Regions from separate parts of the Mus musculus genome. Here all the other regions are reported to be linked to region 3. Evidence: microRNA targets listed by miRTarBase, many of them from high-throughput screens and not tested one by one. Region 3 holds a microRNA gene; each other region holds the end of a gene's coding sequence.

Region 1 (5,991 bases), not on the chromosome of region 3:
TATAATCCATTTCTTGCTCTGTGTCAAAAAGAGACTCTTAACAACTTGGGAAATAGAGGCTTGAGAGATGGCTCAGTGGTTAACACTGAATGCTCTTCCAGAGGACCCAGTACCCACATGGTAGCTCACAATTGTCTGTGACTTCAAGATCTGACACTCTCACCCAGACATGTAGGCAAAACACCAGTGCACATAAAAAGAAACAAAGGAACAAGCAAAAACATTAAAAAAAAAAAACTTAGAAAATAATGGAGATCAGGCAAAGCTCCTATAGTCACCTATACACCAAAGGATTCCCTTAGCATCTGGCACTGTCTTCCCATGTAAGAACGCTGGATTTTAACATGCAGGCAATGGGATTTTATTGAAGATGTGTGTGTTGCAAGGTGATGGCAATTTAGAGAACTCATTGAGCAGTCAGTCGTACACAGGCTGGCTTGGAGACTAGAGAGAGATAGGAGGCAAGGGGTCTAGTTAGAAGATGCATCCCAGGCCTGGGGATGATCAGTGAAGACCAGGATAGGGTGGGCAATGGCATATCACTGATTTTTTTTTTCTCTGTAAGTGTGTGGAAGGGATTTTTGTTTCTGTTTTGGGTATGGTCTCCATTTTAGGACTGCGTTACCTCGGATGTTTCAGTCCATCTCATCAAATCAGCAAACGTGTGTTGCCCACGGCTGTGTGGGAGACAAGTGCTGCCGCTGCTGCATTATCAGCCCCTGCGTAGGTTCTGCTGGGGTACACATTAGGTGTGGCTAACAGTCCAGTAATCTCGGCTTAGGCTCCCCCGTTCTTACTTCTGTTTGTTTCTGTGTTTTAGGAAGCAGGCCAGCAGCTCCCTGAGAGCACAGCAGTCCCTCTGCCTTCCTCCTGCCGCCAGTCTTTCCTGACTAACATCACCTTCTTGAAGGTTCTCCTCTGGTTGGTCCTGCTGGGACTGTTTGTGGAACTGGAATTTGGTCTGGCTTATTTTGTCCTGTCCATGTTCTATTGGATGTATGTAGGGACTCGGGGTCCCGAGGAGAAGAAAGAAGGGGAGAAGAGCGCCTACTCTGTGTTCAACCCGGGCTGTGAAGCCATCCAGGGCACGCTGACTGCTGAGCAGCTGGAGCAAGAGTTACAGCTCAGACCCCCTCAGGGAAGTAGGACCAGCCCCAGCTGTTCCTCCTATCCTTGAACGTGGACTTTAGAGGACAAAGGACAGCTTGCAGGGTGGTCATGTCCTCCACTTTCCCCCTGACCTGCTGCAGTTTCATCTTTGAACTCCACTTTGATTTAGGTGAATTTCTCTAAAGGACACTCAGGGTGGGGCTGGTGCTGTATATAAAAGCCATAAAAGAAGGAGGCTGGTTTGTCTCATTATTGGAGTGGTGATGCTGGCATGCTAGAGATACACTGTGAGGTTCTTTGGTTTACTGAGTGATTTGGTGGAGGAGTAGGCACATTGGGGCTCCTTTTAAATATTTTAATATTTACATAGCTAAGTTCCAGGCCAGGGAAACTGGTCTGCCCCCACCTTAAATGTGTGAATGTTTTGTCCAAATGTATATAGATATACCATGTGTGTGCCTGGAACCCTCAGAGCGCCAAAGAGAGCATCAGATCCTCTGGAACTGAGTTATGGATGGTTGTAAGCCACCATGTGCATGCTGGGAACTGAACCTCAGTCTTCTGCGAGAGCAACAAATGCTCTCAACCACTGAGCCATCTCTCTAACCTTCAAAAAAATATTTTCAGAATTATTTTCTCAAAAGGTTTAGGTTGTAAGGTTTAGAAATTTTTGTTTGTTTTTGTCTTGTTTCTCCTCTTTTCCATCATCAGTGCTATTGAAATATAAAATGTCTTTAAGATTCTATAAGCAGGTCCCCATATACTACCTGTGACCATCTTTCATTTTCCCCTTAACCCTGTCCCTACTTAGGCAGGAAACCTAAGAGAAGAGAAAAAGTTTCAATAGGACAAAGTCAATAGTGGAGATAAAAAATACTTTATTTGTATGACTGTCTACATATGTATGTGTGTACCATGTGCCTGAGGATGTCAGATCGCCTGGAATTGGAGTTCTGTATGGTGGTGGGTTCTGGTAACCAGCTCATCTGCAAGAGCAGCCTGCTCTTAACTGCTGAGCCATCTTCCCAGCCCTGGAAGAAATTTGATAAGAGGTTATTTATGATTGGTACATCAAGAGAAATTCTTGAGTATGTGCAGAGGGAAGGGCTAGGAGACGGGATTCTAGTTTTACTGCTTGGGTTTTGTCTCTTTCTTTTAGGTATTTTTAAAAAAGATTTATTTATTATATGTAAGTACACTGTAGCTGTCTCAGACACACCAGAAGAGGGCATCAGATCTCATTACCGATGGTTGTGAGCCACCATGTGGTTGCTGGGATTTGAACTCAGGACCTTCAAGAAGAGCAATCGGTGCTCTTAACCGCTGAGGCATCTCACCAGCCCCCTTTTAGGTATTTTTGAGAGGGTCTCCTGTAGCTCAGACTGGTCTTAGACTCATTTTGTGGTTCTGGTTTATATATTGGGGACCAAACCTGGGATGTTTTATGCTTTGGGTGAGCACTCTGCCAATGGAGTTACTTTCCCGGCCCTTGCTTTTCATGTTTCAATTGCCGTAGAACCCTGTATGTTTCTGTCTGTGGGCTCTAGTTAGCAGTTGTATAGGTAGCAGCTGTTGGGCCTGGCTTGGGTGTTATTTCGTCTTCCAGTACAGCAGTGGAGTTTAGTTTCATTGGAATTGGGCCACACATACTTTTTCTGTGAGTCATTCTGATGAATAAAAAGATTAATTTTGTTCAAACTTAAGGTTTGAAAAAACTTACTGATTCCTTCAGTGGTTTTTCACTTTCGGAGTTAAGCTCTAATTCTTACTTTATGAAGGTAACTTTGTGTGTGCGTGCGTGCGCATGTGTGTAAATGCATATGTATGTACTGGTGTCCACAGAGGCGAGTCAGAGTTATAGGCTGTTGTCAGCCACCCAATGAGGATGCTGAGAACAGAACTTGGATCCTCTCCTAACTACTGAGCCATCGACCCAGCTCCTGAAGGTAACATTAATATCTGTGAAATATTAAACGATAGATAGAGGTCTATTGTTAATTCTTTTGTTTTCCCTTATTACATTCTACTTATGAAACAGATTCTTGGTTTTCATCTAAATTCACCTGCTTTTTTGGACTGTTATTACCCTCCTAGGTACTTGGATATGACAGGAAATGTGCAGGCCTCTTGCCAGTCATGACCCTATTCATTCTTGCTCACCTCTTCCCACAGGGTATGTGTACTGGCTTTGTATTCTAGGAAGAGTGAGATGTGAGCCAGTTACGTGCCTGCAGGGAGGAGAAGCAAGGACTGTGTATTTGCTATTCTTGTCAGAGCAGTAAGCTTTATTTTATTTTGATAGTCTTGATTTTCTGAGTTTAGACCTGTTGACCTCAGAATTTTCACTTCCCCCAGTTCTAAATATACTGCCACTAAGGGCAATTCAGTGATCAGAGAAAGAGACACAGTCATTGTAGTAGTTGCATGTGGGAGTGTTATTTCTGACACCTTCAGCATCTTACAGGCACATTGTTTTTGCTCTTTGTCACAGTAATTGGCCTTGTCTGACCATTGGCAGGGCCACATTTATTCCTAAATAAAAATGGCTTGTTTCTGTTGACCTCAAAGAAGAATTCAGTTACAAGGCTCAGGAACTTCTTTAAGAATTAGTTACCTGGGAGAACTTTTTTTTTTAATTGGATATTTTCTTTATTTACATTTCAAATGTTATCCCCTTTCCTGGTTCCCCCCTCCCAGGAACCCCCTATCCCATCCCCCCCCCCCAGTTCCTCCACTTACCCACCCACTCCCACCTCCTTGCCCTCGATTCCCCTATACTGGGGCATCTATCGAGCCTTCATAGGACCAAGGACCTCTCCTCCCATTAATGCATGACAAGGCTATATTACATATGCAGCTGGAGCCACGTGTACTCCTTTGTAGGTGGTTTAGTCCTTGGGAGCTCTAGGGGGTCTGGTTGGTTGGTATGGTTCTTTCTATGGGGTTGCAAACCCCTTCAACTCCTTCATTCCTTTCTCTAGCTCCTTTACTAGGGATGCCGTGCTCAGTCCAATGTTGGCTGCGAGCATCCACCTCAGTATTTGTAAGGCTTTGACAGGTCCTCTCAGGAGACAGCTATATCAGGCTCCTGTCATCATGCACTTCTTGGCATCTACATTAGTGTCTGGGTTTGATAACTGTATATGGGATGAATCCCCAGGTGGAACAGTCTCTGGGTGGCCTTTCCTTTAGTCTCTGCTCTACACTTTATCTCCATGTTTGCTCCTGTGAGTATTTTGTTCTCCTAAGAAGCACCCACACTTTGGTCTTCCTTCTTATTGAGCTTCATGTGCTCTGTGAATTGAATCCTGGTTATTTGGAGCTTTTGGGCTAGTATCCACTTATCAGTGAGTGCATACCATGTGTGTTCTTTTGCAATTGGGTTACCTCACTCAGGATAATATTTTCTAATTCTATCCATTTGCCTAAGAATTTCATGAATTCATTGTTTTTAATAGCTGAATAGTACTCCATTGTGTAAATGTACCACATTTTCTGTATCCATTCCTCTTTTGAGGGACATCTAAGTTCTTTCCAGCTTCTGGCTATTATAAATAAGGCTGTTATGAACATAGTGGAGAATGTGTCCTTATTACATATTAGAACATTTTCTGGGTATATGCCCAGGAATGGTATAGCTGGGTCCTCAGGTAGTACTATGTCCAATTTTCTGAAGAACTGACAAACTGACTTCCAGAGTGGTTGTACCAGCTTGGAATCTCACTAGCAATGGAGGAGTGTTCCTTTTTTTCTCCACATCCTTGCCAGTATCTGCTGTCACCTGAGTTTTTGATCTTAGCCATTCTGACTGCTATGAGGTGGAATCTCAGGGTTGTTTTGATTTGCATTTCCCTGATGACTAAGAATGTTGAACATTTCTTTAGGTGCTTCTCAACCATTCGATATTCTCCAGTTGAAAATTCTTTGTTTAGCTCTGTACCCCATTTTTAAATAGGGTTATTTGATTCTCTGAAGTCTAACTTCTTGATTTCTTTGTATATATTGGACATTAGCCCTTTGTCTTATGTAGGGTTGATAATGACCTTTTCCCAATCTGTTGATCCATTGCTGAGAGTGGGGTGTGGAAGTCTCCCACTATTATTGTGTGGGGTATGATGTGTGCTTTGAGCTTTAGTAAAGTTTCTTTTATGAGTATGGATGCCCTTGCATTTGGAGCATAGATATTTAGAATTGAGTTTGTCTTGGTAGATTTTTCCTTTGACCAGCTGAAGTGTCCTCCTTTATCCTTTTTGATAAACTTTTGGTTGAAAGTCAATTTTATTCGATATTAGAATGGCTACTCCAGCTTGTTTCTTGGGACCATTTGCTTGGAAAATTGTTTTTCAAACTTTACTCTGAAGTAGTGTCTGTCTTTGTCATTGAGGTGCACTTCCTGTATGCGGCAAAGTTCTGGGTCCTGTTAACATATACAGTCTGTTAGTCTATGTCTTTCTATTGGGGGATTGAGTCCATCAATGTTAAGAGATATTAAGGAAACGTGATTGTTACTTCCTGTTATTTTTGTTGTTAGAGGTAGAATTATGTTTCTGTGGCTATCTTCTTTTGGGCTTGTTGAAAGATTATTTTCTTGCTTTTTCTAGGATGTAGTTTCCTTCATTGTGTTGATGTTTTCCATCTATTATCCTTGGTAGGGCTGGATTTGTGGATCTACTGGCCAGGATCTACTGGCTTTTATAGTCTCTGGTGAGGAGTCTGGTCTAATTCTGGTAGGTCTGCCATTATATATTACTTGACCTTTTTCCCTTACTGCTTTTAATATTCTTTCTTTGTTTAATGCATTTTGTGTTTTGATTATTATATGACTGGAGGAATTTCTTTTCTGGTCCAGTCTATTTGGAGTTCTGTAGGCTTCTTGTAAGT
Region 2 (5,991 bases), not on the chromosome of region 3:
ACACACGCACACACATTTACACACCATCTTTTTTTAAAATGTGCTAGATGTAAAAGATGCTTTAAAAATGGGGAGATTAAGCTGGTGTCATGCCTCAAGCCTGTAGTCCTAGCATCCCCAGTTGAAATAAGGGCATTACAAGTACAAGGCCAGCCTAGGTTACAGGTAAATTATAAAACAAAAACAGACATCCATGGAAATAGATGGGGCACAATATATTTGGAAAGAAGAGGGGGTTGGGTTCATAGTACAAGAAAAGCCAATCAGCGTTAGGGTATGGTTGGAATATATGACTGACATGCTAATAATCCATGCAAATATAAACATTTTTTGTGAGGCAGTGGTGATGCACGCCTTTAATTCCAGCATTTGGGAGGCAGGCCCATTTTTGTGAGTTCAAGGCCAGCTTGGTCTGCAAGAGAGTTCCAGGACATCCAAGGCTACACGTAAAAAAACTGTCTCAAAACAAACAAACAAACAAAAAACAAAAACAACAACAACAACAAAAAACCCTGAAACACACAAACAAAAACAGTTCTCTAAAGCAGGTGTGTTGACATAGGCATATAATCTCACAACTAAGACATGAAGAGTTATGAGTGCCAGGCCAGCCTCGGAGTCATAATGAGACTGGGTCTCAACAACAAAAACAACTAAGGAAAAAAGAAAAGGCAAAAAATTTTTATTTGAAACTTTCCCTGTTCAAAAAAAAAAGGTGTCATTTCTTCTGCTGTGGTCTTGAGTCTAGAGATAACAGGATGAATCACCTGAGCTAAAGGACCATGTTCAATTGCTTGTTGGCTAAGAACACCCCAATCAAGGAAGAGATTTAGATTGATTCTGAGTGCTTCCAACTGTATGGTCTTGGCTCTGACCCTGAAAACAGAATCAAAACAGCCAAGCCATGGTTGTGGTCCTGGTGGAGGGAACACATGACTGTTGCTTATTGGCATGCTCTGCCTGTTTTCTGGTGCAAGTGGAGAAATAGCTCATTTGGTCAGATGCTTGCCGTATAAGCATGAGGACTTACTCAGTTGCTCACCAGAACCCTTGTCAGATAGCCAGGCGTGGTCTCACACGTCTCTGATCCCAGCATCGGGTGTGATCTCAATCACTGAGCCTAGAGATTCAGTTATTCAATTGCCATATTAATGTGGTAGTGCACACCATTAATCCCAGCACTCAGGAATGAAAGGCAGATGGATCACTTGAGTTCGAGACCAGCCTGCCTGGTATTCACAGCGAGTTCCAGGACACAGAGTCCTTGTCTCACAAAACAACAAAAATAAAAGCAAGCTTTGTGGGGCTGGGAAGATGGCTCGGTAGTAAAGGTCAGAGCACTGGCTGCTCTTCCAGAGAACATAAGTTTAATTCCCAGCACCCACGTTGCTTCTGTAATACATCTGTAACCTAGTCTCTATTCATTTCCAATTTTATAGTTACTAAACCAAGGAGATTTAACTGAAAGACAGACATGAGTGTGCTGACTCCTGGAGATGCTGTTGTCTGATCCCAGAGTGCATGATGGGAACAGATCCAAAGGCTCATAATCTGCCAGAACTAAAAGGAGTCTGAAGGACCAAGACCTTGCCTTGCCTCTGTTGTCTGAGGGCTCTCTTCAACCTCCACCGATGCAGTCCAAGAGTGAAGCAGTGGCCGTGGGCTGGATACCTGTGCCGCCTCTCTCCTCAGCGCAGCGTTTGGGAGTAGACTTGCCAAGAGCAGGTTTAATTATGTGTTGGCTGAAGATTTTCATTGTGACTGTCAAGGTTTTCCTTTGAAGAGTTTTCACCCTAGGCCCAGCTATCTTTCCATATGGTTGAATTATGTCCTGCTTCCAACCAGAACACTGAGTTTTCAAGATGCCTTGTTGCTTTGAAGAAGGGAGGGGTGCCAATTACACTGTAGCATTGCACTCTCCCTTTAGCAACCTGAGTAAGACTTAGCCTTTGGGCTGTAAAAATTAAATTACTTGAATCTCTCCTTGGCCCAGGCTGAGGTACCAACTTACCCTGTACACTTTGACTTGGTCATTTTTTTGTTTTGTTTATGGGACTTAAAATAGCATGTTATCAGGGGGTTTTATTTGTTGTTGTTGTTTTTTTTTAAGTTAAAAACCACATGATCTAGAGTTTGTTTTCCTTTTAAATAAACAAAACAACCTAGTCACCTCTTTGGCTCTTGTTTTAGATTGGTGATTCTTAACCTTCTCAATGCTGCCACCCTTTAATGCAGTTTCTCATGTTGTGGTGACCCCCAACCATAAGATGATTTTCATTGCTACTTCATAACTGTAATTTTGCTACTGTTACAAATCATAATGTAAATATCTGATATATAGGATATCTGATATGTGATAGGTTGAGAACCGCTGTTTTAGACAGATGTGGGGCATTTTTGTTGTTGGTTTGGTTTGGGTTTTTTTCAAGACAAAGTTTCTTTGTGTAGCTTTGGCTGTCCTGGAACTCATTCTGTATTCCAGGCTGGCCTTGAACTCTGCCTCCTGAGTGCTGGAACAAAAGGCGTACACACACCACCACTTCTTCGTAACAGATGTGTTCTTAGAGGTCAAGAAGTTTATCCAGTCTTTCTCTTTTAAGATAGAATATTAAATAGAGAAAGGAGGCTAAGGATAGGATAGTAGCTTATGCCTCTAGTCCCAGGACTCAGGGGCTGAGGCAGGCAGATCACAGGACTATGAGACCCGCCTTGACACATAACAAGTTCTACACAGCAAGACACTGTGTTAAAAAAATTAAGGGAGACCCTGATGAGCCAGGTCCCCCAGCATGCAGGGAACAAACAAATTTCTTGGATTTGATGCCAGCCTGATGTATATAGGAAGTTCTAGATCAACAAGGGCTATACATTAAGAATTTGTCTCAAAACAAAAAAAAGAAAGAAAAAAAAAAGGAAAGCATACTTTCTGGGCTGGAGAGCTAGATGGCTTAGTAAAGAGCACCTGCTGCTATTCCAGAGCATTCCACCTCAGTCCACATCACACAGCTCGCAGCACCCTGTCACCCAGCTCCAAGGGACACATACAAAGCGGGGTTCTGGGTACTTAACACACACAACATGTACATAATTTTTTGTTTGTTTGTTTTGGTTTTTTTTTTTTTTTTTTTTTTTTTGAGACAGGGTTTCTCTGTGTAGCCCTGGCTGTCCTGGAACTCACTCTGTAGACCAGGCTGGCCTTGAACTCAGAAATCCACCTGCCTCTGCCTCCCGAGTGCTGGGATTAAAGGTGCGAGCCACCACCACCTGGCACATGTACATAATTTAAAAATAAGGAAAAGCACTAGTGCCATAAAGTAGGTGCTGATGTACCTTTAGCTGTGTAGACGGAACTGAACTGAGGAGCCTTAGAAAATGCAGCAGCAGTGTTTTTTGTTTAGAGCTGGCAAACCTAAGCTGGTAGTGGTGGTGACACACGCCTTAGCACTCAGGAGGCAGAGGCAGCAGATCTCTTGAGTTTGAGGCCAGCCTGGTGTACATATAAAGTAATACAGGGCAGTAAGGGCTACACAGAGAAACCCTGTCTCAGAAAAAGTGGAAAGCAAGCAAAGACTGGCAAGCCCAGATGTGTCAGACCCAGCACTAAAACAGTTTGTAAGTCTTCTAAGATAGCAGTCGTAAGGGATAATTTGGATTTGTTCCAGAAATGGTTAAACATGAGAAATGTACTTCTTTTAGCCCATTATCATCTGCATACAACACAATTATTGACCAGAAAAAAAAATATCTCAAACATCACCTATGAGTACAAAATCAGTTAAGTTTTATTTAAAGTGAACTCTGTGCTGACATACGTATTCGAATAGTGTCTTTAGAGAACAGTAGAAAAGAACTGCCGCTCTGCATTTGCTATCGACTTGCATAATTATCCTCTAGTGTGGAGACAAGTTCCTAGCAATTGTTTTTCTAAAATTACCAGTCTGTGCTTTCTACAGGAGTGCTTCCCAATCTGGGACATTTTTGCTCTCTAGAGACCATTTGGCAATAAATGGAAACATTTTTGTTTGTCAACAACCTGAAGAGGGGTGTTACAAGAGGGTGAGGAAGAAAACATCCTATAGGGGGCTGGAGAGATGGCTCAGTGGTTAAGAGCACTGACTGCTCTTCCAGAGGTCCTGAGTTCAAATCCCAGAAACCACATGGTGGCTCACAACCATCTGTTATGGGATATGATGCCCTCTTCTAGATTTGTCTGAAGATGGCTACAGTGTATTCATAGAAAATAAATAAATCCTTTTTTAAAAAAAAGCTTATAAATTAATCCTACAAACAATAAGAACTGACTTGTCCGAGTGTGTCAGATGCTAATGATAAGGCCTGTACTTAAGGTTGCAGATGTGGGCTGAGAATCATGTTTTATTTCACACACAGTATTCCTATGTTTAGCTGCTAAGATTGCAGGTTACTGGAAGCCGATGAGAATGTATTTAGTCTGGCTGTCCTGGATTTCTGTTTCCTTATTGCCACCTATTTTCTTACCTCTGTTCCTCTTATACCTACTTGATAGATGTGGGCTCTACTTGTATTTTCTATACCTACTTCTAAGTGTAAAGTGCAAAGCAAGAGCCTTTTACTCTGGGCTAAGGTACATCTACCCTCGGATCCACTTTGATCTCTGAAGTTCTGTTCTGTTCTCCCAAACCCTAACAGATGACTCTAAACTCAAGCTCCTCCACACTTGGTTGCTTGGTGCTCTGATGTGATATGGTGAGTGACCTATTTCAACAAGCAGATTGGTTAGCCATTGCTGTTCCAGCCTGGGGCCAGCAGGCAGTTGTAAAGTCTTCTAAATTGAGCCGTCAACCTCGGATGCTGAGTTTTGTAGCTTCATAGTTGCTGAAAAAAACAGTATTTTAAATGGAAAGGATCTGTGAGGTTTAAGAATGGTTCCAACATTTTCATTATTATTATATTTTTTGGTAGAATAGAATTTTAAAGAGAAAACAGGAATTACTTGGACTTAATAAAACTGGAAATAACAGCAGCACTCTGCTTTTCTCTCCTTGCCTTATGATACATCAGTTATGAAAGAGGTGATGCTGGGGTGTCAGCTGTAAGGAGCAGGGATGGCAGCCGAGCAGCCATCGCCTCACATAGACAGTGTTGCTCAGGGGCTTGTGGATGCGCTTTTGTGTAAGTGCAGGGCTGTTATCTCACGTGAGCAACTTCTCTACGTTCCCTCCTGGTCGCGTCCTTAGGGATAACACCAATACCTCTTAACCGGTGAGATTCCTTGACTTTGGCTTTCTCTTCATCACACTGCCTCTGTGCCTTGACTCTTGGTTCTCACAAACTCCTCCTCCAGGCCGGCCTGCTTCAGGGCGTCCCTATAGCGCTCTTCTGCTTCTTTCCTGGCGAGGGCCTGTGGAGTGGAAGTGACAAGTATGACTCTGAGTTACTTGGGGAATCCGTCTTTAAAATATTGCCCTTTCCACCACCCACACCTTTAGTGCTGGACAAAGCTGGCACAGGAATGACTTAGAGCCTTATTGTTAGCCACAGTTTATAAAATGAGTCCCATGGGGATCTTGTTCACATACAGGTACAAATACAATTTCATATCTCTAACACTTCTAGGAGGTGTCAGCTCCTAATTAATTTGAGAGGCACGCCCTTGAAAAGCATCCAAACCATCCTCAGGAAGACTAACATATCACAAATGCTTAGCAAGAGGAGTGTGGTCTGTAAGTAGCTAGAAGGCTACCTTGTTTTACATATCTAAGAACAAAACCACAGGCTACTTTGTGTTTTCTACAAAAGGGGACCTAAAGGAGTGGACCATAAGTATGTTCCGGACAGTCCAGCAGGGGGCAGGGCCGCCTGGAGGAGGAGGAGAGCCATTAGTACCTAGGGATGCCACATGCTCTGAGATGGAACTCATGCCTACAGTGAACCACAGAGCCAGATACCACACTAAACTGCCTGGGGTGGGTCCTTCTGGATGTTCAAGGGCTCTAGAGCTTCCTTAGGGAG
Region 3 (5,991 bases):
GGCCAAGGAGTCACTAGGCCAGTCACACCCTTCACGTGGTCCCGACCCTTGGGTGCCTCTCCTGACTGATCCCACTGACCCCTTCCTCCTAAGCTAGGAACTAGCTAGCCACACAACAGCCGCAGCAGCAGCAGGCTCGCAGCGGTAGTTAGATGACAAAGTTCACCAAACCACTCGGCCTAGCAGAGCTGGGTTAGTTAAACGTCTACTACGGGCCCAGAGCTCCGGCTCCGTGTGGCCTGGTGCCCTACAACCCTCCTGTTGTCGCTATATGCTGAACGCCACCCGGGCACGAAGCAGTTAACGCCCTTGCAGCGAGCTGGCAGAGCCGGCTGCCCGGCTTATTAGTCAGCCGGCGGGGAGGGGGCGGAGGGAAGGAGGGAGGAGGGAGGGAGGGGTTCAGTGGAGAGCCGCAGAAAGCTATTCTCAGGGGCTCCCGTGTGTGGGGAGGGCGGCTCAGCGGGAACTGCCGCTTCCCAGAAAGTTGATTATTTTTAACCCAGGAAGAAGAAAGGAAGGAGGCCCAGGGAGGACTCAGAGAAGACGAGGAAAAGAGAGGAGAGGAGAGAAAAAGAGGAGAGGAGAGGCGAGAACAAGGAGAGGAGAGGAGAGAGAGGAGAGGAGAGGAGAGGAGAGGAGAGGAGAGGAGAGGAGAGGAGAGGAGAGGAGAGGAGAGGAGAGGAGAGGAGAGGAGAGGAGAGGGATAGATATTTGGAGGGAAAGGACAGGCAGGGCAGGGAGGAAGGAAGATGAGGCTTAGATATCCCACAGCAAGGGTTGGGGAACGCTCTGGGCCAATTCTGGAGGAGGAATAGATGTGGGGTACCCACCCCTGCTGGACCTACCATCCTCCTGTCCTTGTGGACTGGCCTAGTTGCATGGGGGCTTGAGGGAGGAACTGGGCACAAGGCAGTTCCAGCTCCTGGGAGTGCTCTCAGGTCAGTGGGCAGCACAATGGCACAGCCTTGTTCTGGCCTTCACGGTGACTCCTGGGAGTCTGCATGGAGGCCCTGGGAAAGAGGACAAAGAGGTTGCCTTGGTGCTTGGGCCGAGAGGGATTCACTTACGGGGGGGGGGGGGGGGGGGGTGTGGGCCCAAGTCACTTCTCCTACCTCTAGGTGGTGTCAGGCTGGGAAGGCACCTCAGAAGCAGGAGCTGGGTTCACAGAGTGAGACAAGCCAGAGACAGCTGGCCCACAGGGCTCGCAGGCGTGGCGAGCCATAAAAAATGCATTGGGTGCCCCCAAGAAGGCTGAAATATCAGGGACTTAGGCAGACTGGCTGTGTGTGTGATCTCAGCAGGGGTCAGAAGTGTCCTAGAGAAGGGTGCATGAGGATCTACTGGGATGACTAACTCAACTAATGCGAAGCCAGGGAAGACAGGACTGGCAGTCTTCAGGCCTCAGATCCAAGTGGTCTATCAATTCCTGCCTCTGGAAGGTTTGGCAGGCTTTTATGGAGCAGAGAGAACAGGTCTCCAAAGCTCCCAGAGGCTAGGAACTGGGGGCTGAACTCAAGCTTGGTTTGTGCCATGGTGGAAGACCAGCCTAGTGCAGATGCGGGAGGAATCAGAAAGCTGTCTGGGCTGGCTATGTGACAGGGAGGGCTGGTGCTGTTCAGGAGGCAGGGGACAACTCACAGGAGCAGGCTGGCAGCTTCGCATATTTGAGGGTCTGGTAGAGATGGCTCAGAGCGCCAGGTGAAAGGAAGACCCAGTGGGGAGGGCTGAGGGAGCTGCAGTGGCATTGCAGAATATGCTAGAATCCTGGTGGACCGGCTGATCCCGGTGGGTCTGCAGTATAGGCAGGGGAATCAGGTTTGTTATGGTAATGGTGCAGAGGGAGAGAGGAGGGTTCTGTTCCTATAATTGAGTACTGGGAGACACAGCAGACAAGACAGTGTGTGGCCAGCAGGGCTGAGCCTCGGGCAGGCCAGGCCGATGCCTGGAGCCTGGGAAGGTCCTGGGGACAGATCAAGAGGCCTCGGGTGTGATGTAAGGGCAGGTATGCATGTTTCTTGCTCTGAGGGCCTTGTCTCTAATTGAGAAGGATTGAGAGGGACCCAGCTACCCCTACCCAGTCACTCTGGAGCCCTGACCAGCTTCAGGCCTTTCCCCAGCAGTAGGTTGGGACTGCTCATTACCTCCACAGGATGTAGAAGGTGCCCACCCACCAAGTCACTCCCCACCCGGCCCCCAACCCCAACTGCTGGCAAGAGGAGAGCAGAGTTGAGCACACAGTAGGTCCTTTCCATGAGCCTAAGCTAGTGGGTAGAGTTAGAGCTACAGACTGGGCTGAGAGCAGAGCCCCTGCCCAGATGCCCTGGAACAGGGAGATAAGGGGAACAGCTGGTGGCTTGCAACTGAGTTCAGGGACAGCGTGTCTCAGTTTCTCTGTCTGAGCATCTGCTGATCCTGAGCTGTGTTTTTAGCTGCAGAAACCCAGGGCCTTGAGGCTCCACCCCTACACTCTGAGCACCACTGCTGCCAACGCCAAGGGGGTCTCGGGAATGGCAACTGAGAGGAGGGGGAAGGTTCTAGGACACATATGGAATCCAAAGTGCTCATCTTCCAGCTCTGAAGGGCCTGCCACGGCTAATAACAGTCTTCCAGCCAGGCAGTGATGGCACACACCTTTAATCCCAGCACTCAAGAGGCAGAGGCAGGAGGGTCTCTATGAGTTCAAGGTCAGCCTGGTTTACAGAGTTAGTTCCAAGACAGCCAGGGCTGCACAGAGAAACCCTGTCCTGGCGGGGGAGGGTGGGCTTCCCATCAAAGCTATGCTGGCCCTGCCCTCTCACCTCCTCCCAAGGGTGAGAAGAATAAGGCCCAGATCTAAAGGACAGACCTGAAGCCACCCCACGGCTGACTGTGTTCTCTGAGCCCCCACCCCTAACCCTATCTACAAAGTGCCTGGCTCCTTGGAAGCAGAGGAGGGTAGGTGTCAGGCTGTCATTCCGTGACCCAAGGCTCCCCATCAGTATGACAAGGGTGTAGGCTAGAGCCCTCTAAAGTGGACAAGACCCAGACTTCCCAGCATCCACTCTGAGAAGCCTAGCTCAGAAGAGTTGGCCAGGGCCCCAGAGCTGCACCTCCTGCTCTGTCCCCATCAGGCATCTCTGAGCTGTGAGGAGCTGTCCCCTCAACAGTGCCTGTGGAACACAAAGAGGGGGGGAGCCCAAGCAGAGAAAGAGCCGCGGGCTGCAGGCGGGCAGGCAGGCTCAGAGCGGCTCTGCTCCGCTTTCTTCTTCCTCCCTCTCTCTTTGTTAAGCTCCTTTTCAGCTGCACAGGCAGAGCCTGGGTGTTCCGAGCTGACAATAATTGCTGCGTCTAGACAGTGTCTGGTAGGAGGCCTCCTTCTCTGTGCCTGCCGGCCTCCCCGAGGCTCCCAGGCCTGGCCCACAGCCCCTGCCCGGCACCCTCAGAGGGTTCCCACACCCCTGCCTCTCTGTGGATGCCATGCCCACCCCCCACCCCCCAGTCTTTCTGCCTCCTAATTCAGTTGGGAGTACAGCTCTGTCCTCCTACCCTTGGGTCCAAAGGCACCCCAGTCTGTTCTATTTTGTGGCCTAAAGTTCAGAAACAAGACACTGTCCAAGAAGCACTGGTAATGCCAGAGGCCTCTGAAGGAGCCAGAGCTCAGCGTAAGGCAGGTGGCTGTGCTGCATAGGCCAGGGAAGCTGCCTTGCTGGGTGAGCTAAGCCTGGACCCTCAGGGTTCAATTCTAAAATTTGATCTAGGTTCTTCTAGAGTTTTCCAACCCAAAGCCCAACAAAAAGACACAGGAATCAGTGTAAGGAAGACCAAGCATTTCCCAGACCACTTTAGGCTGATGGGGATCCGTGTTTTCAGGAGGCTGGGGAAGGAGAACAAGAAACAAACATTAGGAGTTCTGAGATCTGTGCTCAACTCAGCCCTGAAGCTCTGGAAAATTCCCCAGAGTCTCCTAGAGGGTGTTGGGGCAGGCACTCAGGGTGCCACAGACAGCAACAATAACAACCAGAATCTGCTCAGCCCTGGCCCGCTCTGAGCGCAGAGCAGAGCCGACTCTGCTTGCATCTTAATGTGCTTAACCCCCTCTAGGAGAGGGCCCTGGGAGACAAGGGGAGCTGGAAAAATCCAAACGAGCCTCTGATTAAGACCTTTTTTTGTTTTTATTTTTATTTTGTCTTTTGTGAGTGAGGGGGTGGTACGTACCTGTTCGTGTGGGGGTTTGCATGTAGGAGGGTCCGTGTGCACAGATGCAAGCCTGTGGAAGCCAGAGACAGAGGTCAGAGTCTTCCTCTATCACGCTCAGCGTGTGTTTGAGAAAGGGCCTCTCATTCAACCCAGAGCTCACTAATTCAGCTAGGCTGGCCAGCAAGCTCCCGGGATCTGCTTGTCTGCCTCCCCAGCCCCAGGGGTAATAGATACCACTGCAGCTGGCTTTTAAGTGGGTGTTGGGAATCAAACTCAGATCTTCATCCTTTCATGGCCGGCACAACTGAGCCATCATCGCCCCACCCCCTTTTTAGCCAATGCCATTTTATAGGTCAGGAAATAGAGCAGAGAGGAGCTTGCTCACAGTCACGCAGACAGAAGTAGAGAAGCCAAGATCTGAAACCCCAGACACTGGCGTCAGGAGCCCAGTAATGACTCATAAACAGAGTGAGACAGCTCCAGCAAGAGAGCTGCGAGTTTGAAGCCAGCCTAGGCTACCTAGTGAGACTGCATCTCAGGAAAGCAAGGGCTGAGGAGTTGTTTCTCTCAGTGGCAGAATGCTTACCTAGAGCACACAAGACCTGGTATTCATCCCCAACTCTGTACATAAGGAGCACCGATCAAGCTTGGCATGCTGACCCACACCGGGCAGGCATCCCCGCCTCGGGAGGCAGAGGCACGCAGAGCAGGAGTTCCAGGCCATCCAGGGCTACATAGTGAGGTCCTGGCTCAAAACAAAGCAAAACAAAAAGTCCTAGGTCAGCCTGCTTAAAACAAACAAACAAACAAACAAACAAACTCACGTGCAAAAATAAAATATATGAAATTAAAGTTGACTCACAATAGAAACATTGAAACTGTCCTACCCACCAGGGCTGAGCCCAATGGCCCAGGCTGAAGGGTACTGGCGAATGCCTGGCTTCACCTCATTCCATGTGTCTGTTGACAAGAGCCAGTGTGTTGTGTGTAACAGAACCTCAGGCCGGAAAGGCCTAGCAAGCCCACCCTCGGGGTGTGTCTGTGTGTGTGTGTATGTGTGTGTGTGTCTGTCTGTGTGTGTGTGTGTGTGCACGTGTGTGTCTGTGTATGTATGTATATGTGTGTGCATGTGTGTGTCTATGTGTCTGTATGTGTGTGTATGTATATGTGTGTGCATGTGTGTGTCTATGTGTCTGTATGTATGTGTGTGTATGTATGTGTGTCTATGTGTCTGTATGTATATGTGTGTGCATGTGTGTGTCTGTCTGTCTGTCTGTGTGTGTGTCTGTATGTATATGTGTGTCTGTGTGTGTATGTGTGTCTGCATCTGTGTATGTGTTGTTTACAGACAGGATGCCATTTCTTTCCTCCTCCTCTGGACTGTCCCCAATATATCCCATTAACCCACACTGAGAAAACCAGAGTGAAATGTCTCTTAAGACAATGGCCTGGAGGAAACTGCCAAGTGGGACAGCTCCAGTCAAGGGCATGGGTGTTGTCATGTGAGGGACAAGAAACCTCTGGGAACCAAGGACAGGCCCTAGAACCAAGGCTTACCTGAAGGAGTGTGAATCTACCTGGCCTCCTTTAGCATGAAGAAGCAGCACTCTGGGCAGAGAGGCCCTTGGCTGAGCCCAGAGTGGCAAGAGTGCCATGCATAAGGCTATGGTGACTGTGAGAATGGACATTTGACTGGCTGGCTGGACAGGGCAGCTCTGTGGGTTGCAGCAAGTTAGAGGCTCCTGGTCTCTACCATTGGGCCTCCTGTGGGTTGTGTTCCTCCAGGTTCCAGACACTGGCTTAGGTGGAGCCTCT
Region 4 (5,991 bases), not on the chromosome of region 3:
TATTGTCCTGCCGAAAATTTGAGAGTCAGAGAAGTTTGAGAGTAGAAGTCTGGCCAGGCATAGTGGCACACGCCTTTAATACCAGCACTCAGGAGGCAGAGGCAGGTGGATCTCTGTGAGTTTAAGGCCAGTTTGGTTTGTATAGTGAGTATAGCAGGAAACCCAGGGCTACACCGAGGGACTCTGTCTTAGTAAATAGTAAAAAGAGTAGAAGTTCTGGGCTGGTGAGATGGCTCAGCCCAGTCCTAAGCCTGACTCTCAGCTTTAGTCTGATTTGTGGGACCCACGGGTTAGGAGAGAACCAACTCCCACCAGTTGTCCTCTGGCCTCCACATGCACACCGTGGCATGAGCAGATCCACAGACGTGTACACAGACACAACTTAAAGCATTAATTTTTATAATTAATTAATTAATTAGTACAAATACAGATGTTTCAGAGTTGGAGGTTCAGCTCATTTATAGAGTACTTGCCTAGTACGTGCAAGACCCTGGGTTCCATTTAAAAAAAAAGGGGGGGGGGAGTAGGATATGACATTGCACGCCTTTAGTCCCAGCACCCAGGAGCCAGAGGCAGGAGGATCTCTGTAAGTTCAATACCAGCTTAGTCTATGTAGGGAGTTCGCTACATAGTAAAACTCTGTCTCAAAACAAACCAAAAGCCCTGGACTTGGGGATACATGCCTTTTGTCTCCACACTCGGGAAGCAGAGGCAGGAGGATGAGGAGTTCTAGGCTAACCTGTCCCTTTAGAGGACAACCTTCATAAAAGTGTCTCAAAAAAAAATGTATGTATGTGTGTGTGGCAGGGGTGGGGCATAGGGGTGTCCTATCAGGCGAAGGAAATCCTTAAGCTGCCTATCTCCTGGAATGTTTCAGATCAAGACTGGCGCCCCATGCAGATCTGAACGTCTGGCGAAGTACAACCAGCTCATGAGGTGAGGAGGGTCCCCGAAGAACAAGAACCCGAAACCCGGGGTCTAAACGCCCCATTAGGCCACCATTCCACCTCCTGCATCCAGGACCTGGATAGCAGTTGATGCCAAGAAAAGTTTTGCTAAGTGGGTTCAAGGATGGTCCGATTGACAGATCACTAACTGACCACGAAAGCCAGGGACCGTTCACCTTGGGGCAGCCCTCAAAGGGGGAGCATTGAGGGACTCAGGGAGAAAGGCTGATCCCGTCTTCTCCCCTGACTGTCCCCCTTCCGGATCATCTGTCAGAATTGAGGAAGAGCTGGGGGACGAAGCTCGCTTCGCGGGACATAATTTCCGAAATCCCAGTGTGCTGTGATCCCCTTCCCCCAACCCCGCTTGCCTGAACGCGGGAACATCTCATTCTCCTGGAGCCTCTTTCTTGCTGCCCTGACCTGCCATAGTCACTCTGATACCCTGAGCCCCAAGTCACCCAGAACACCTCGACTCACCGCTCCTGCTGTTCTTGGCTTCCACAACCCCCCTTGCTCTCTCTGCTCTTCCTCCTCTCTGGGCCCCATTTTTGGGGGGATTCAGTCTTCCCACTTTCCCTTCTATTCTCTCTTCTCTTTAAAAAAAAATTATGAAGATTAGAAGGGGGTCCACAGAAGAATCCTCAGTGTCTGACAGGAGCTTCAGGATTGGTGTGTTGGGGTGTTTAAAGTGGGGTCACGGGCATGAGTGTTTCAGTGCTTACCATGGTGTGTATAAGCCTTGAACTATGCATAGAACTGGAGTTTGGGGAGTGCTGGATGTGTGGTCATGCTTGGTTGAGGCTTTAGTGTATGTGTTTACATACACAAGCACAGTTTGTTTGTTTGCTTATTTATTTATTTATTTATTTATTTATTTATTTATTTATTTATTTCTCAGCTGGTCAGTCAGCCATCTCCTGTAACTCTCCAGTCTGAAAGTGACCTAACTTGACAGGACTAGGCACCCCTATTCCATGTGGCTTCATTCCAAGATGACCCAGGATGGGGATTTTGCTAGCATGGGAAGGGGAACAGAAAAGGGCCTTAGCAATTGCTTCATTCGGTGCACTAACCGAAGCTCGGAACTTTACAGAATGGGGCTGTGGACCTGGGGAGGCTTTTCTCCTCTAACCCTCTCCCCAGCCCTAGGCTCCTCCGTCTTTCTCCGGCTGCACCAGAGCGCTGCCTCACTCCCCTGCGCCATGTCCCACAGTTGCCACCATCTCCGTGGCTTTGAAATGACCACCACCATTAAAGTCTGAATCACAGCGCACCACCCCTTGTCTGAGGACTCTTACTCTCTGCTCCATGTGAGAGGACGAAGAGAAACGACTGGATATTGGCGATCCTAGGTAGCAGATCAGGGGAGGGCTCAAAAAGCGGCAAGCCACTGAACTCATGACCAAGTTTGCAGCATTGCTGGTGATGTGGGATCCGTGGGGTTTTTGTTTCCCAAGACAGGGTTTCTACGTGTAGCCCTGGCTGTCCTGGAACTCACTCTGTAGACCAGGCTGGCTCCAAGTTTACAGAGATCCGCCTGCTTCTGCCTCCCGAGTGCTGGGATTAAAAGCTTGTACCACCACACTTGGCTGAACTAAGGATTCTTAACCTGTGGTACTGGAGTTACTCAAACATCAGGGATTGAGTGTATCTGGGGTGAGGAACAAAGCGTTTCTGGTTCCTAAAGTCTTGGACCGAAGTAGGAACAAAGCAGTAGACCAATAACTAAAGCGCCCCTGTACTGGTCCTCAACAGAATTCTGGATGGCTTTGAAATGAGAGTATCATGGCCACCAATTCCTTTGGAATACAGAACCAAAGAAAAAAGGGAGAGAAGAAATATTACGGGTACCAGGAGCTTGGGAATCCGACTTCTCCAGTAAAATGGATGCCACACCTGAAGTGCTCTCCAGCCTCCCCGTTAGCCAGACTGAGAGGATATCAGTGTGTAGACAGAGGCCCTCTAACCTTTCAGCTCCAGTGAGGCTGTGAGGTTGAAGCACCCAGCCCGCCTTGGGGGACAATCCCCCTAACATTACTATCCTTAGGGTACTAGGGCTCACGCTTGCAGGCAGCATCTGCCCATGAATAGCTGTGGCCATTAGGGGGAGCCCAAGTTCTGCAGGACACCTTACTAGACGCCAAGGTGAGGTTGGGGTGGGAAGAATTTCAAGGTTGCACCCTCTGCCCTCCTCCCGCGGATCCTCCCAAGTTCTGGTCCCAGGCTCCCTCAGACTTCCTTCTCCCTTTAGGGCTAACAGAAACTTGCACTGGTGAAGCCAGGAGCCACATCTCCCCACCCATCTTCTTGTATCCCCCAGCTATTTTCAGTTCAAAGAACTTCTTGCTCCCTCTCCTTCCCTGTGCCCTTGAATTCCTATGTAAGCTCCTCGTTTTTTTTCCCCCTTCCAGCACCCCTATATGGCCCCGGGGGCTCGCTACACTTCTCTGGGGCTGCTCTCTCAGAAACTCCTAGGCTTTGGTCAGGGCTATTGTGGCTGTAGCCACCATTCCTAACCCTTGTCTTTTCTTTCCTCCATCCTAGCTAGGTGCCTTTTTCTGACAACATTCCCAGCCCCCTTCTGGTACCAGGTTGGATTGGGTTACAGCTAGCTCTGCTTGGGCCTCCAAGGCCCCTCTCTACTTTCCTTTTGTGCCATTGCCTGGAGACCAGGTGATTGTAGGGGGCTGGGGCCAGAGAGGGAGCTGGGGTGAAGGATAGGGGTGGGGTGTATATTTAATGCTCCCAGCAGCTGAGCTGTGAGCCTGGTCTTGGGTACCAGAGGAACTGGAAGGTGTAGTGCTGGCTTCTTTTCCTAGTTCCATGCCTTGTCCTTCCCTAGGCCTACATTTTTCTTTTAGGCTTAGATAAGTTACCATCTTGGCTGTTGCCTTAGCGGCTAAACAAGGGTAGAGGTTGAGTCTGGAAAGGATTGGAAAGGTCCTAGGCCAGGCCTAGTGGGAAACTAAAGGAAAGAGAGGAAATGCTATGGGGAGAGGGGGGAGGGAGGAGGAGTCTCAGAGCAAAATTAGTTGGTACAGGGAAGGAACTAGGTCTATCTTAGAGCACAGAGAAAAAGACGTGAAGGGTACACAGGAGAGGACCTGGTCTCTGGGAGGCCCTGGAAGGGGACAAGCAAATGGGTATGGGGGTAAAGTGAGGCCCTGCAGAGGCAAGGGACTTCACAGTGGGGTGATGGGATATTTGTTCCTAGAGGAGCCAAGCATTCTTGCTTGGTCTCCCTAGTGCTTTGGAATCTGTGTAGAGCTTTTGGGTAAGTTCAAGAGCTTGGCTGAATCTGGCCTAAGGAATGGTGGTGTAAGACCTACTGGGTGGCTACTAGGCTAGCCGTTCTCCTCCCTTCCACAAAGGCAGTTTGCCCACTCAGTGTCCCCCACTCCACCCACTAGGTCTGAGCTAGGCTGGCCCCCTACAAGCTCTCTACCCCCACCTCCAAATCTGGTGAACTACTAAGGGCTCCCAATCCAGACTCCAGCTCCAGCTCTTCCGGGCTCCCAGCCTGCCTCCCTCCCTTTCTCTAGCCTTCCCAATTTCAGCTGCCAAAAATCACCCTGTCTCTAGTGTCCTTTGTCCTGAGAGATGTTGCTGCTGGTTTGGGGCCAGAGAAGGAGCCCAGAAGAAGGCACCACTGGAGTGATGGGGGTGCTGACTTCATGGCTGTAGGTTGGGCATGGCTGGCACGCTGACTGGAGAAGAGTTGGGAGGAGCATGCTGTAGTCTGTGCTGGGGACTACTTCCATATTACAATTGTTATGGGGAACCTGGGCACCCTAAAATGTATGTAGGTCCTTTCCACCTAATCCCCCACTTCATCCCTTCTGTGACCATGACCAAAGATGCTACTAGTAATGACTTCAGACTTGAGAAGGTCTAGTTCAGGAACCTCGAGAAAATGAAGGGCCCAAAAGTGAAGTGCCACCTCTTAGTTACCTCTTCCACACTAGGGCCTGGACCCCAGTCTGTCACTCCTCCAGGGTTCTCCCTCCGTCTCTAGCTCCTCTCTTTTCCCATCACTGGCCCTCCCACCACGTTGCCACAAAAGCCCTATTTATCTTGTGTTTCCTTCCAGACCTCTCTAATTCATTCTCCTCCACTTTATTTGCCAAAGGAAATAGTTCTTAGTTCGATTGGAAGTCCCCACATTCATGTTTACCAACCCAGCCCACCCCAGTCTCCCTCTAGAATAGGCATCCTCTGCCCTCCACCCCTCTTCTGAGACTTCTCATGCCTTCTCTCCCACAGAGGGATCTCCGGACTTGCCTCCAGCTTTCCTTCATCATTCCCAAATTCTTGTGGTTTGCATTCTTCTCAACACCAATCACTGCCTTAAACGCTTATCTCTTCCAGAAACACCATTCTCCTAGTACGTCTTCATCCTTTCCCGCCCAGGTCCACAAACTTCCATCGTAGGCTCTCCAAAATAGCTCCTAAACCCCTCCAGCCTCTACTTCTGGCCCTTCCTCTCCATCTTTCCAATACAGTCCCATTATCCAAATCTCTACTTCATAATTCCCCAAACTCCACCTACTTCACCCCTGCCACAGCCCCTCTTGTCCCCAAACTTCTCCAGCCTCCCCAGGTCTGCCTTCGCAGTCCACAGCCCCTCCCACCCAGCCCTCTCCCGCGCGGGGCCCGCGAGCTCCCCACGCTCTGCGCAGCGAGGCCCTCTCTCTCTGCGCCCCGGCCGGCTTCGGCCAACTCGCCCGGCGCCTCCCCTTCCCCGATCCTCCGCCCCCCGACTGCCGCGCGCTCCCTCCCTCGCGTCTCCTCCGGGCCCCTCTCTCTCCTCCGTTCCTCCGCGCTCCCTCCTTCTCCCTCTTCCTCCCTGCTCCCATCCCCCTCTCCCGAGCGCCCTCCCTCCGCCGTCCGCTTTCCTGTGCGAGTCGCCGGACGCGCCGCCCAGCCTGTCCGTCCGCCCGCAGCCCCGCGCCCGACCGGGGCCTCGGGCCAGGACGCGTTTCGGGGTGGCAGGCCTCGGGGCGGGCTAGGGGCGCGCGGCACCAGCGGCGGGAGGGTCGGGGGT

Evidence for each region. Region 3 holds the annotated microRNA mmu-miR-3089-5p (UGAGUUCAGGGACAGCGUGUCU, at 2,362-2,383, shown strand). A microRNA usually pairs through its seed, bases 2 to 8, with sites in the 3' UTR of a target mRNA and lowers its output. Matches are read on the target gene's strand: a 7mer-m8 pairs with bases 2 to 8, a 7mer-A1 pairs with bases 2 to 7 and ends in A, and an 8mer does both.
Region 1: the mRNA of Saysd1 is a reported target of mmu-miR-3089-5p. Seed matches in the 3' UTR shown: 7mer-m8 at 1,260-1,266 and 8mer at 2,391-2,398.
Region 2: the mRNA of Fam161b is a reported target of mmu-miR-3089-5p. Seed matches in the 3' UTR shown: 8mer at 4,135-4,142.
Region 4: miRTarBase lists Eno2 as a target of mmu-miR-3089-5p. Seed matches in the 3' UTR shown: 8mer at 2,339-2,346 and 7mer-A1 at 2,438-2,444.

What each region holds. Positions count from the first base shown.
Region 1 is chr14:20,072,474-20,078,464 of GRCm38, reverse strand. It overlaps Saysd1 (SAYSVFN motif domain containing 1), which reads left to right. Exons shown (of 2, transcript NM_026209.1): 2 at 821-2,829. The coding sequence ends at 1,177. Among named protein-coding and RNA genes, the nearest start is that of Saysd1, 7.7 kb to the left of the region's middle.
Region 2 is chr12:84,341,556-84,347,546 of GRCm38, forward strand. It overlaps Fam161b (family with sequence similarity 161, member B), which reads right to left. Exons shown (of 9, transcript NM_001358283.1): 8 at 5,232-5,380; 9 at 3,754-4,854. The coding sequence ends at 5,273. It overlaps Zfp410 (zinc finger protein 410), which reads left to right. Exons shown (of 12, transcript NM_144833.4): 12 at 1,440-2,884. The coding sequence ends at 1,478. Among named protein-coding and RNA genes, the nearest start is that of Fam161b, 17 kb to the right of the region's middle.
Region 3 is chr2:30,718,861-30,724,851 of GRCm38, forward strand. It overlaps Mir3089 (microRNA 3089), which reads left to right and starts at 2,350; the gene lies at 2,350-2,433. Gm14488 (a long non-coding RNA gene) reads right to left here and starts at 2,327. Exons shown (of 4, transcript XR_866106.3): 1 at 1,113-2,327; 2 at 846-1,010. Gm39782 (a long non-coding RNA gene) reads right to left here and starts at 4,923. Exons shown (of 3, transcript XR_866107.2): 1 at 4,763-4,923; 2 at 4,195-4,246; 3 at 2,703-3,853.
Region 4 is chr6:124,756,593-124,762,583 of GRCm38, reverse strand. Eno2 (enolase 2, gamma neuronal) reads left to right here. Exons shown (of 12, transcript NM_013509.3): 11 at 878-936; 12 at 1,222-2,531. The coding sequence ends at 1,291. Among named protein-coding and RNA genes, the nearest start is that of Atn1, 3.1 kb to the right of the region's middle.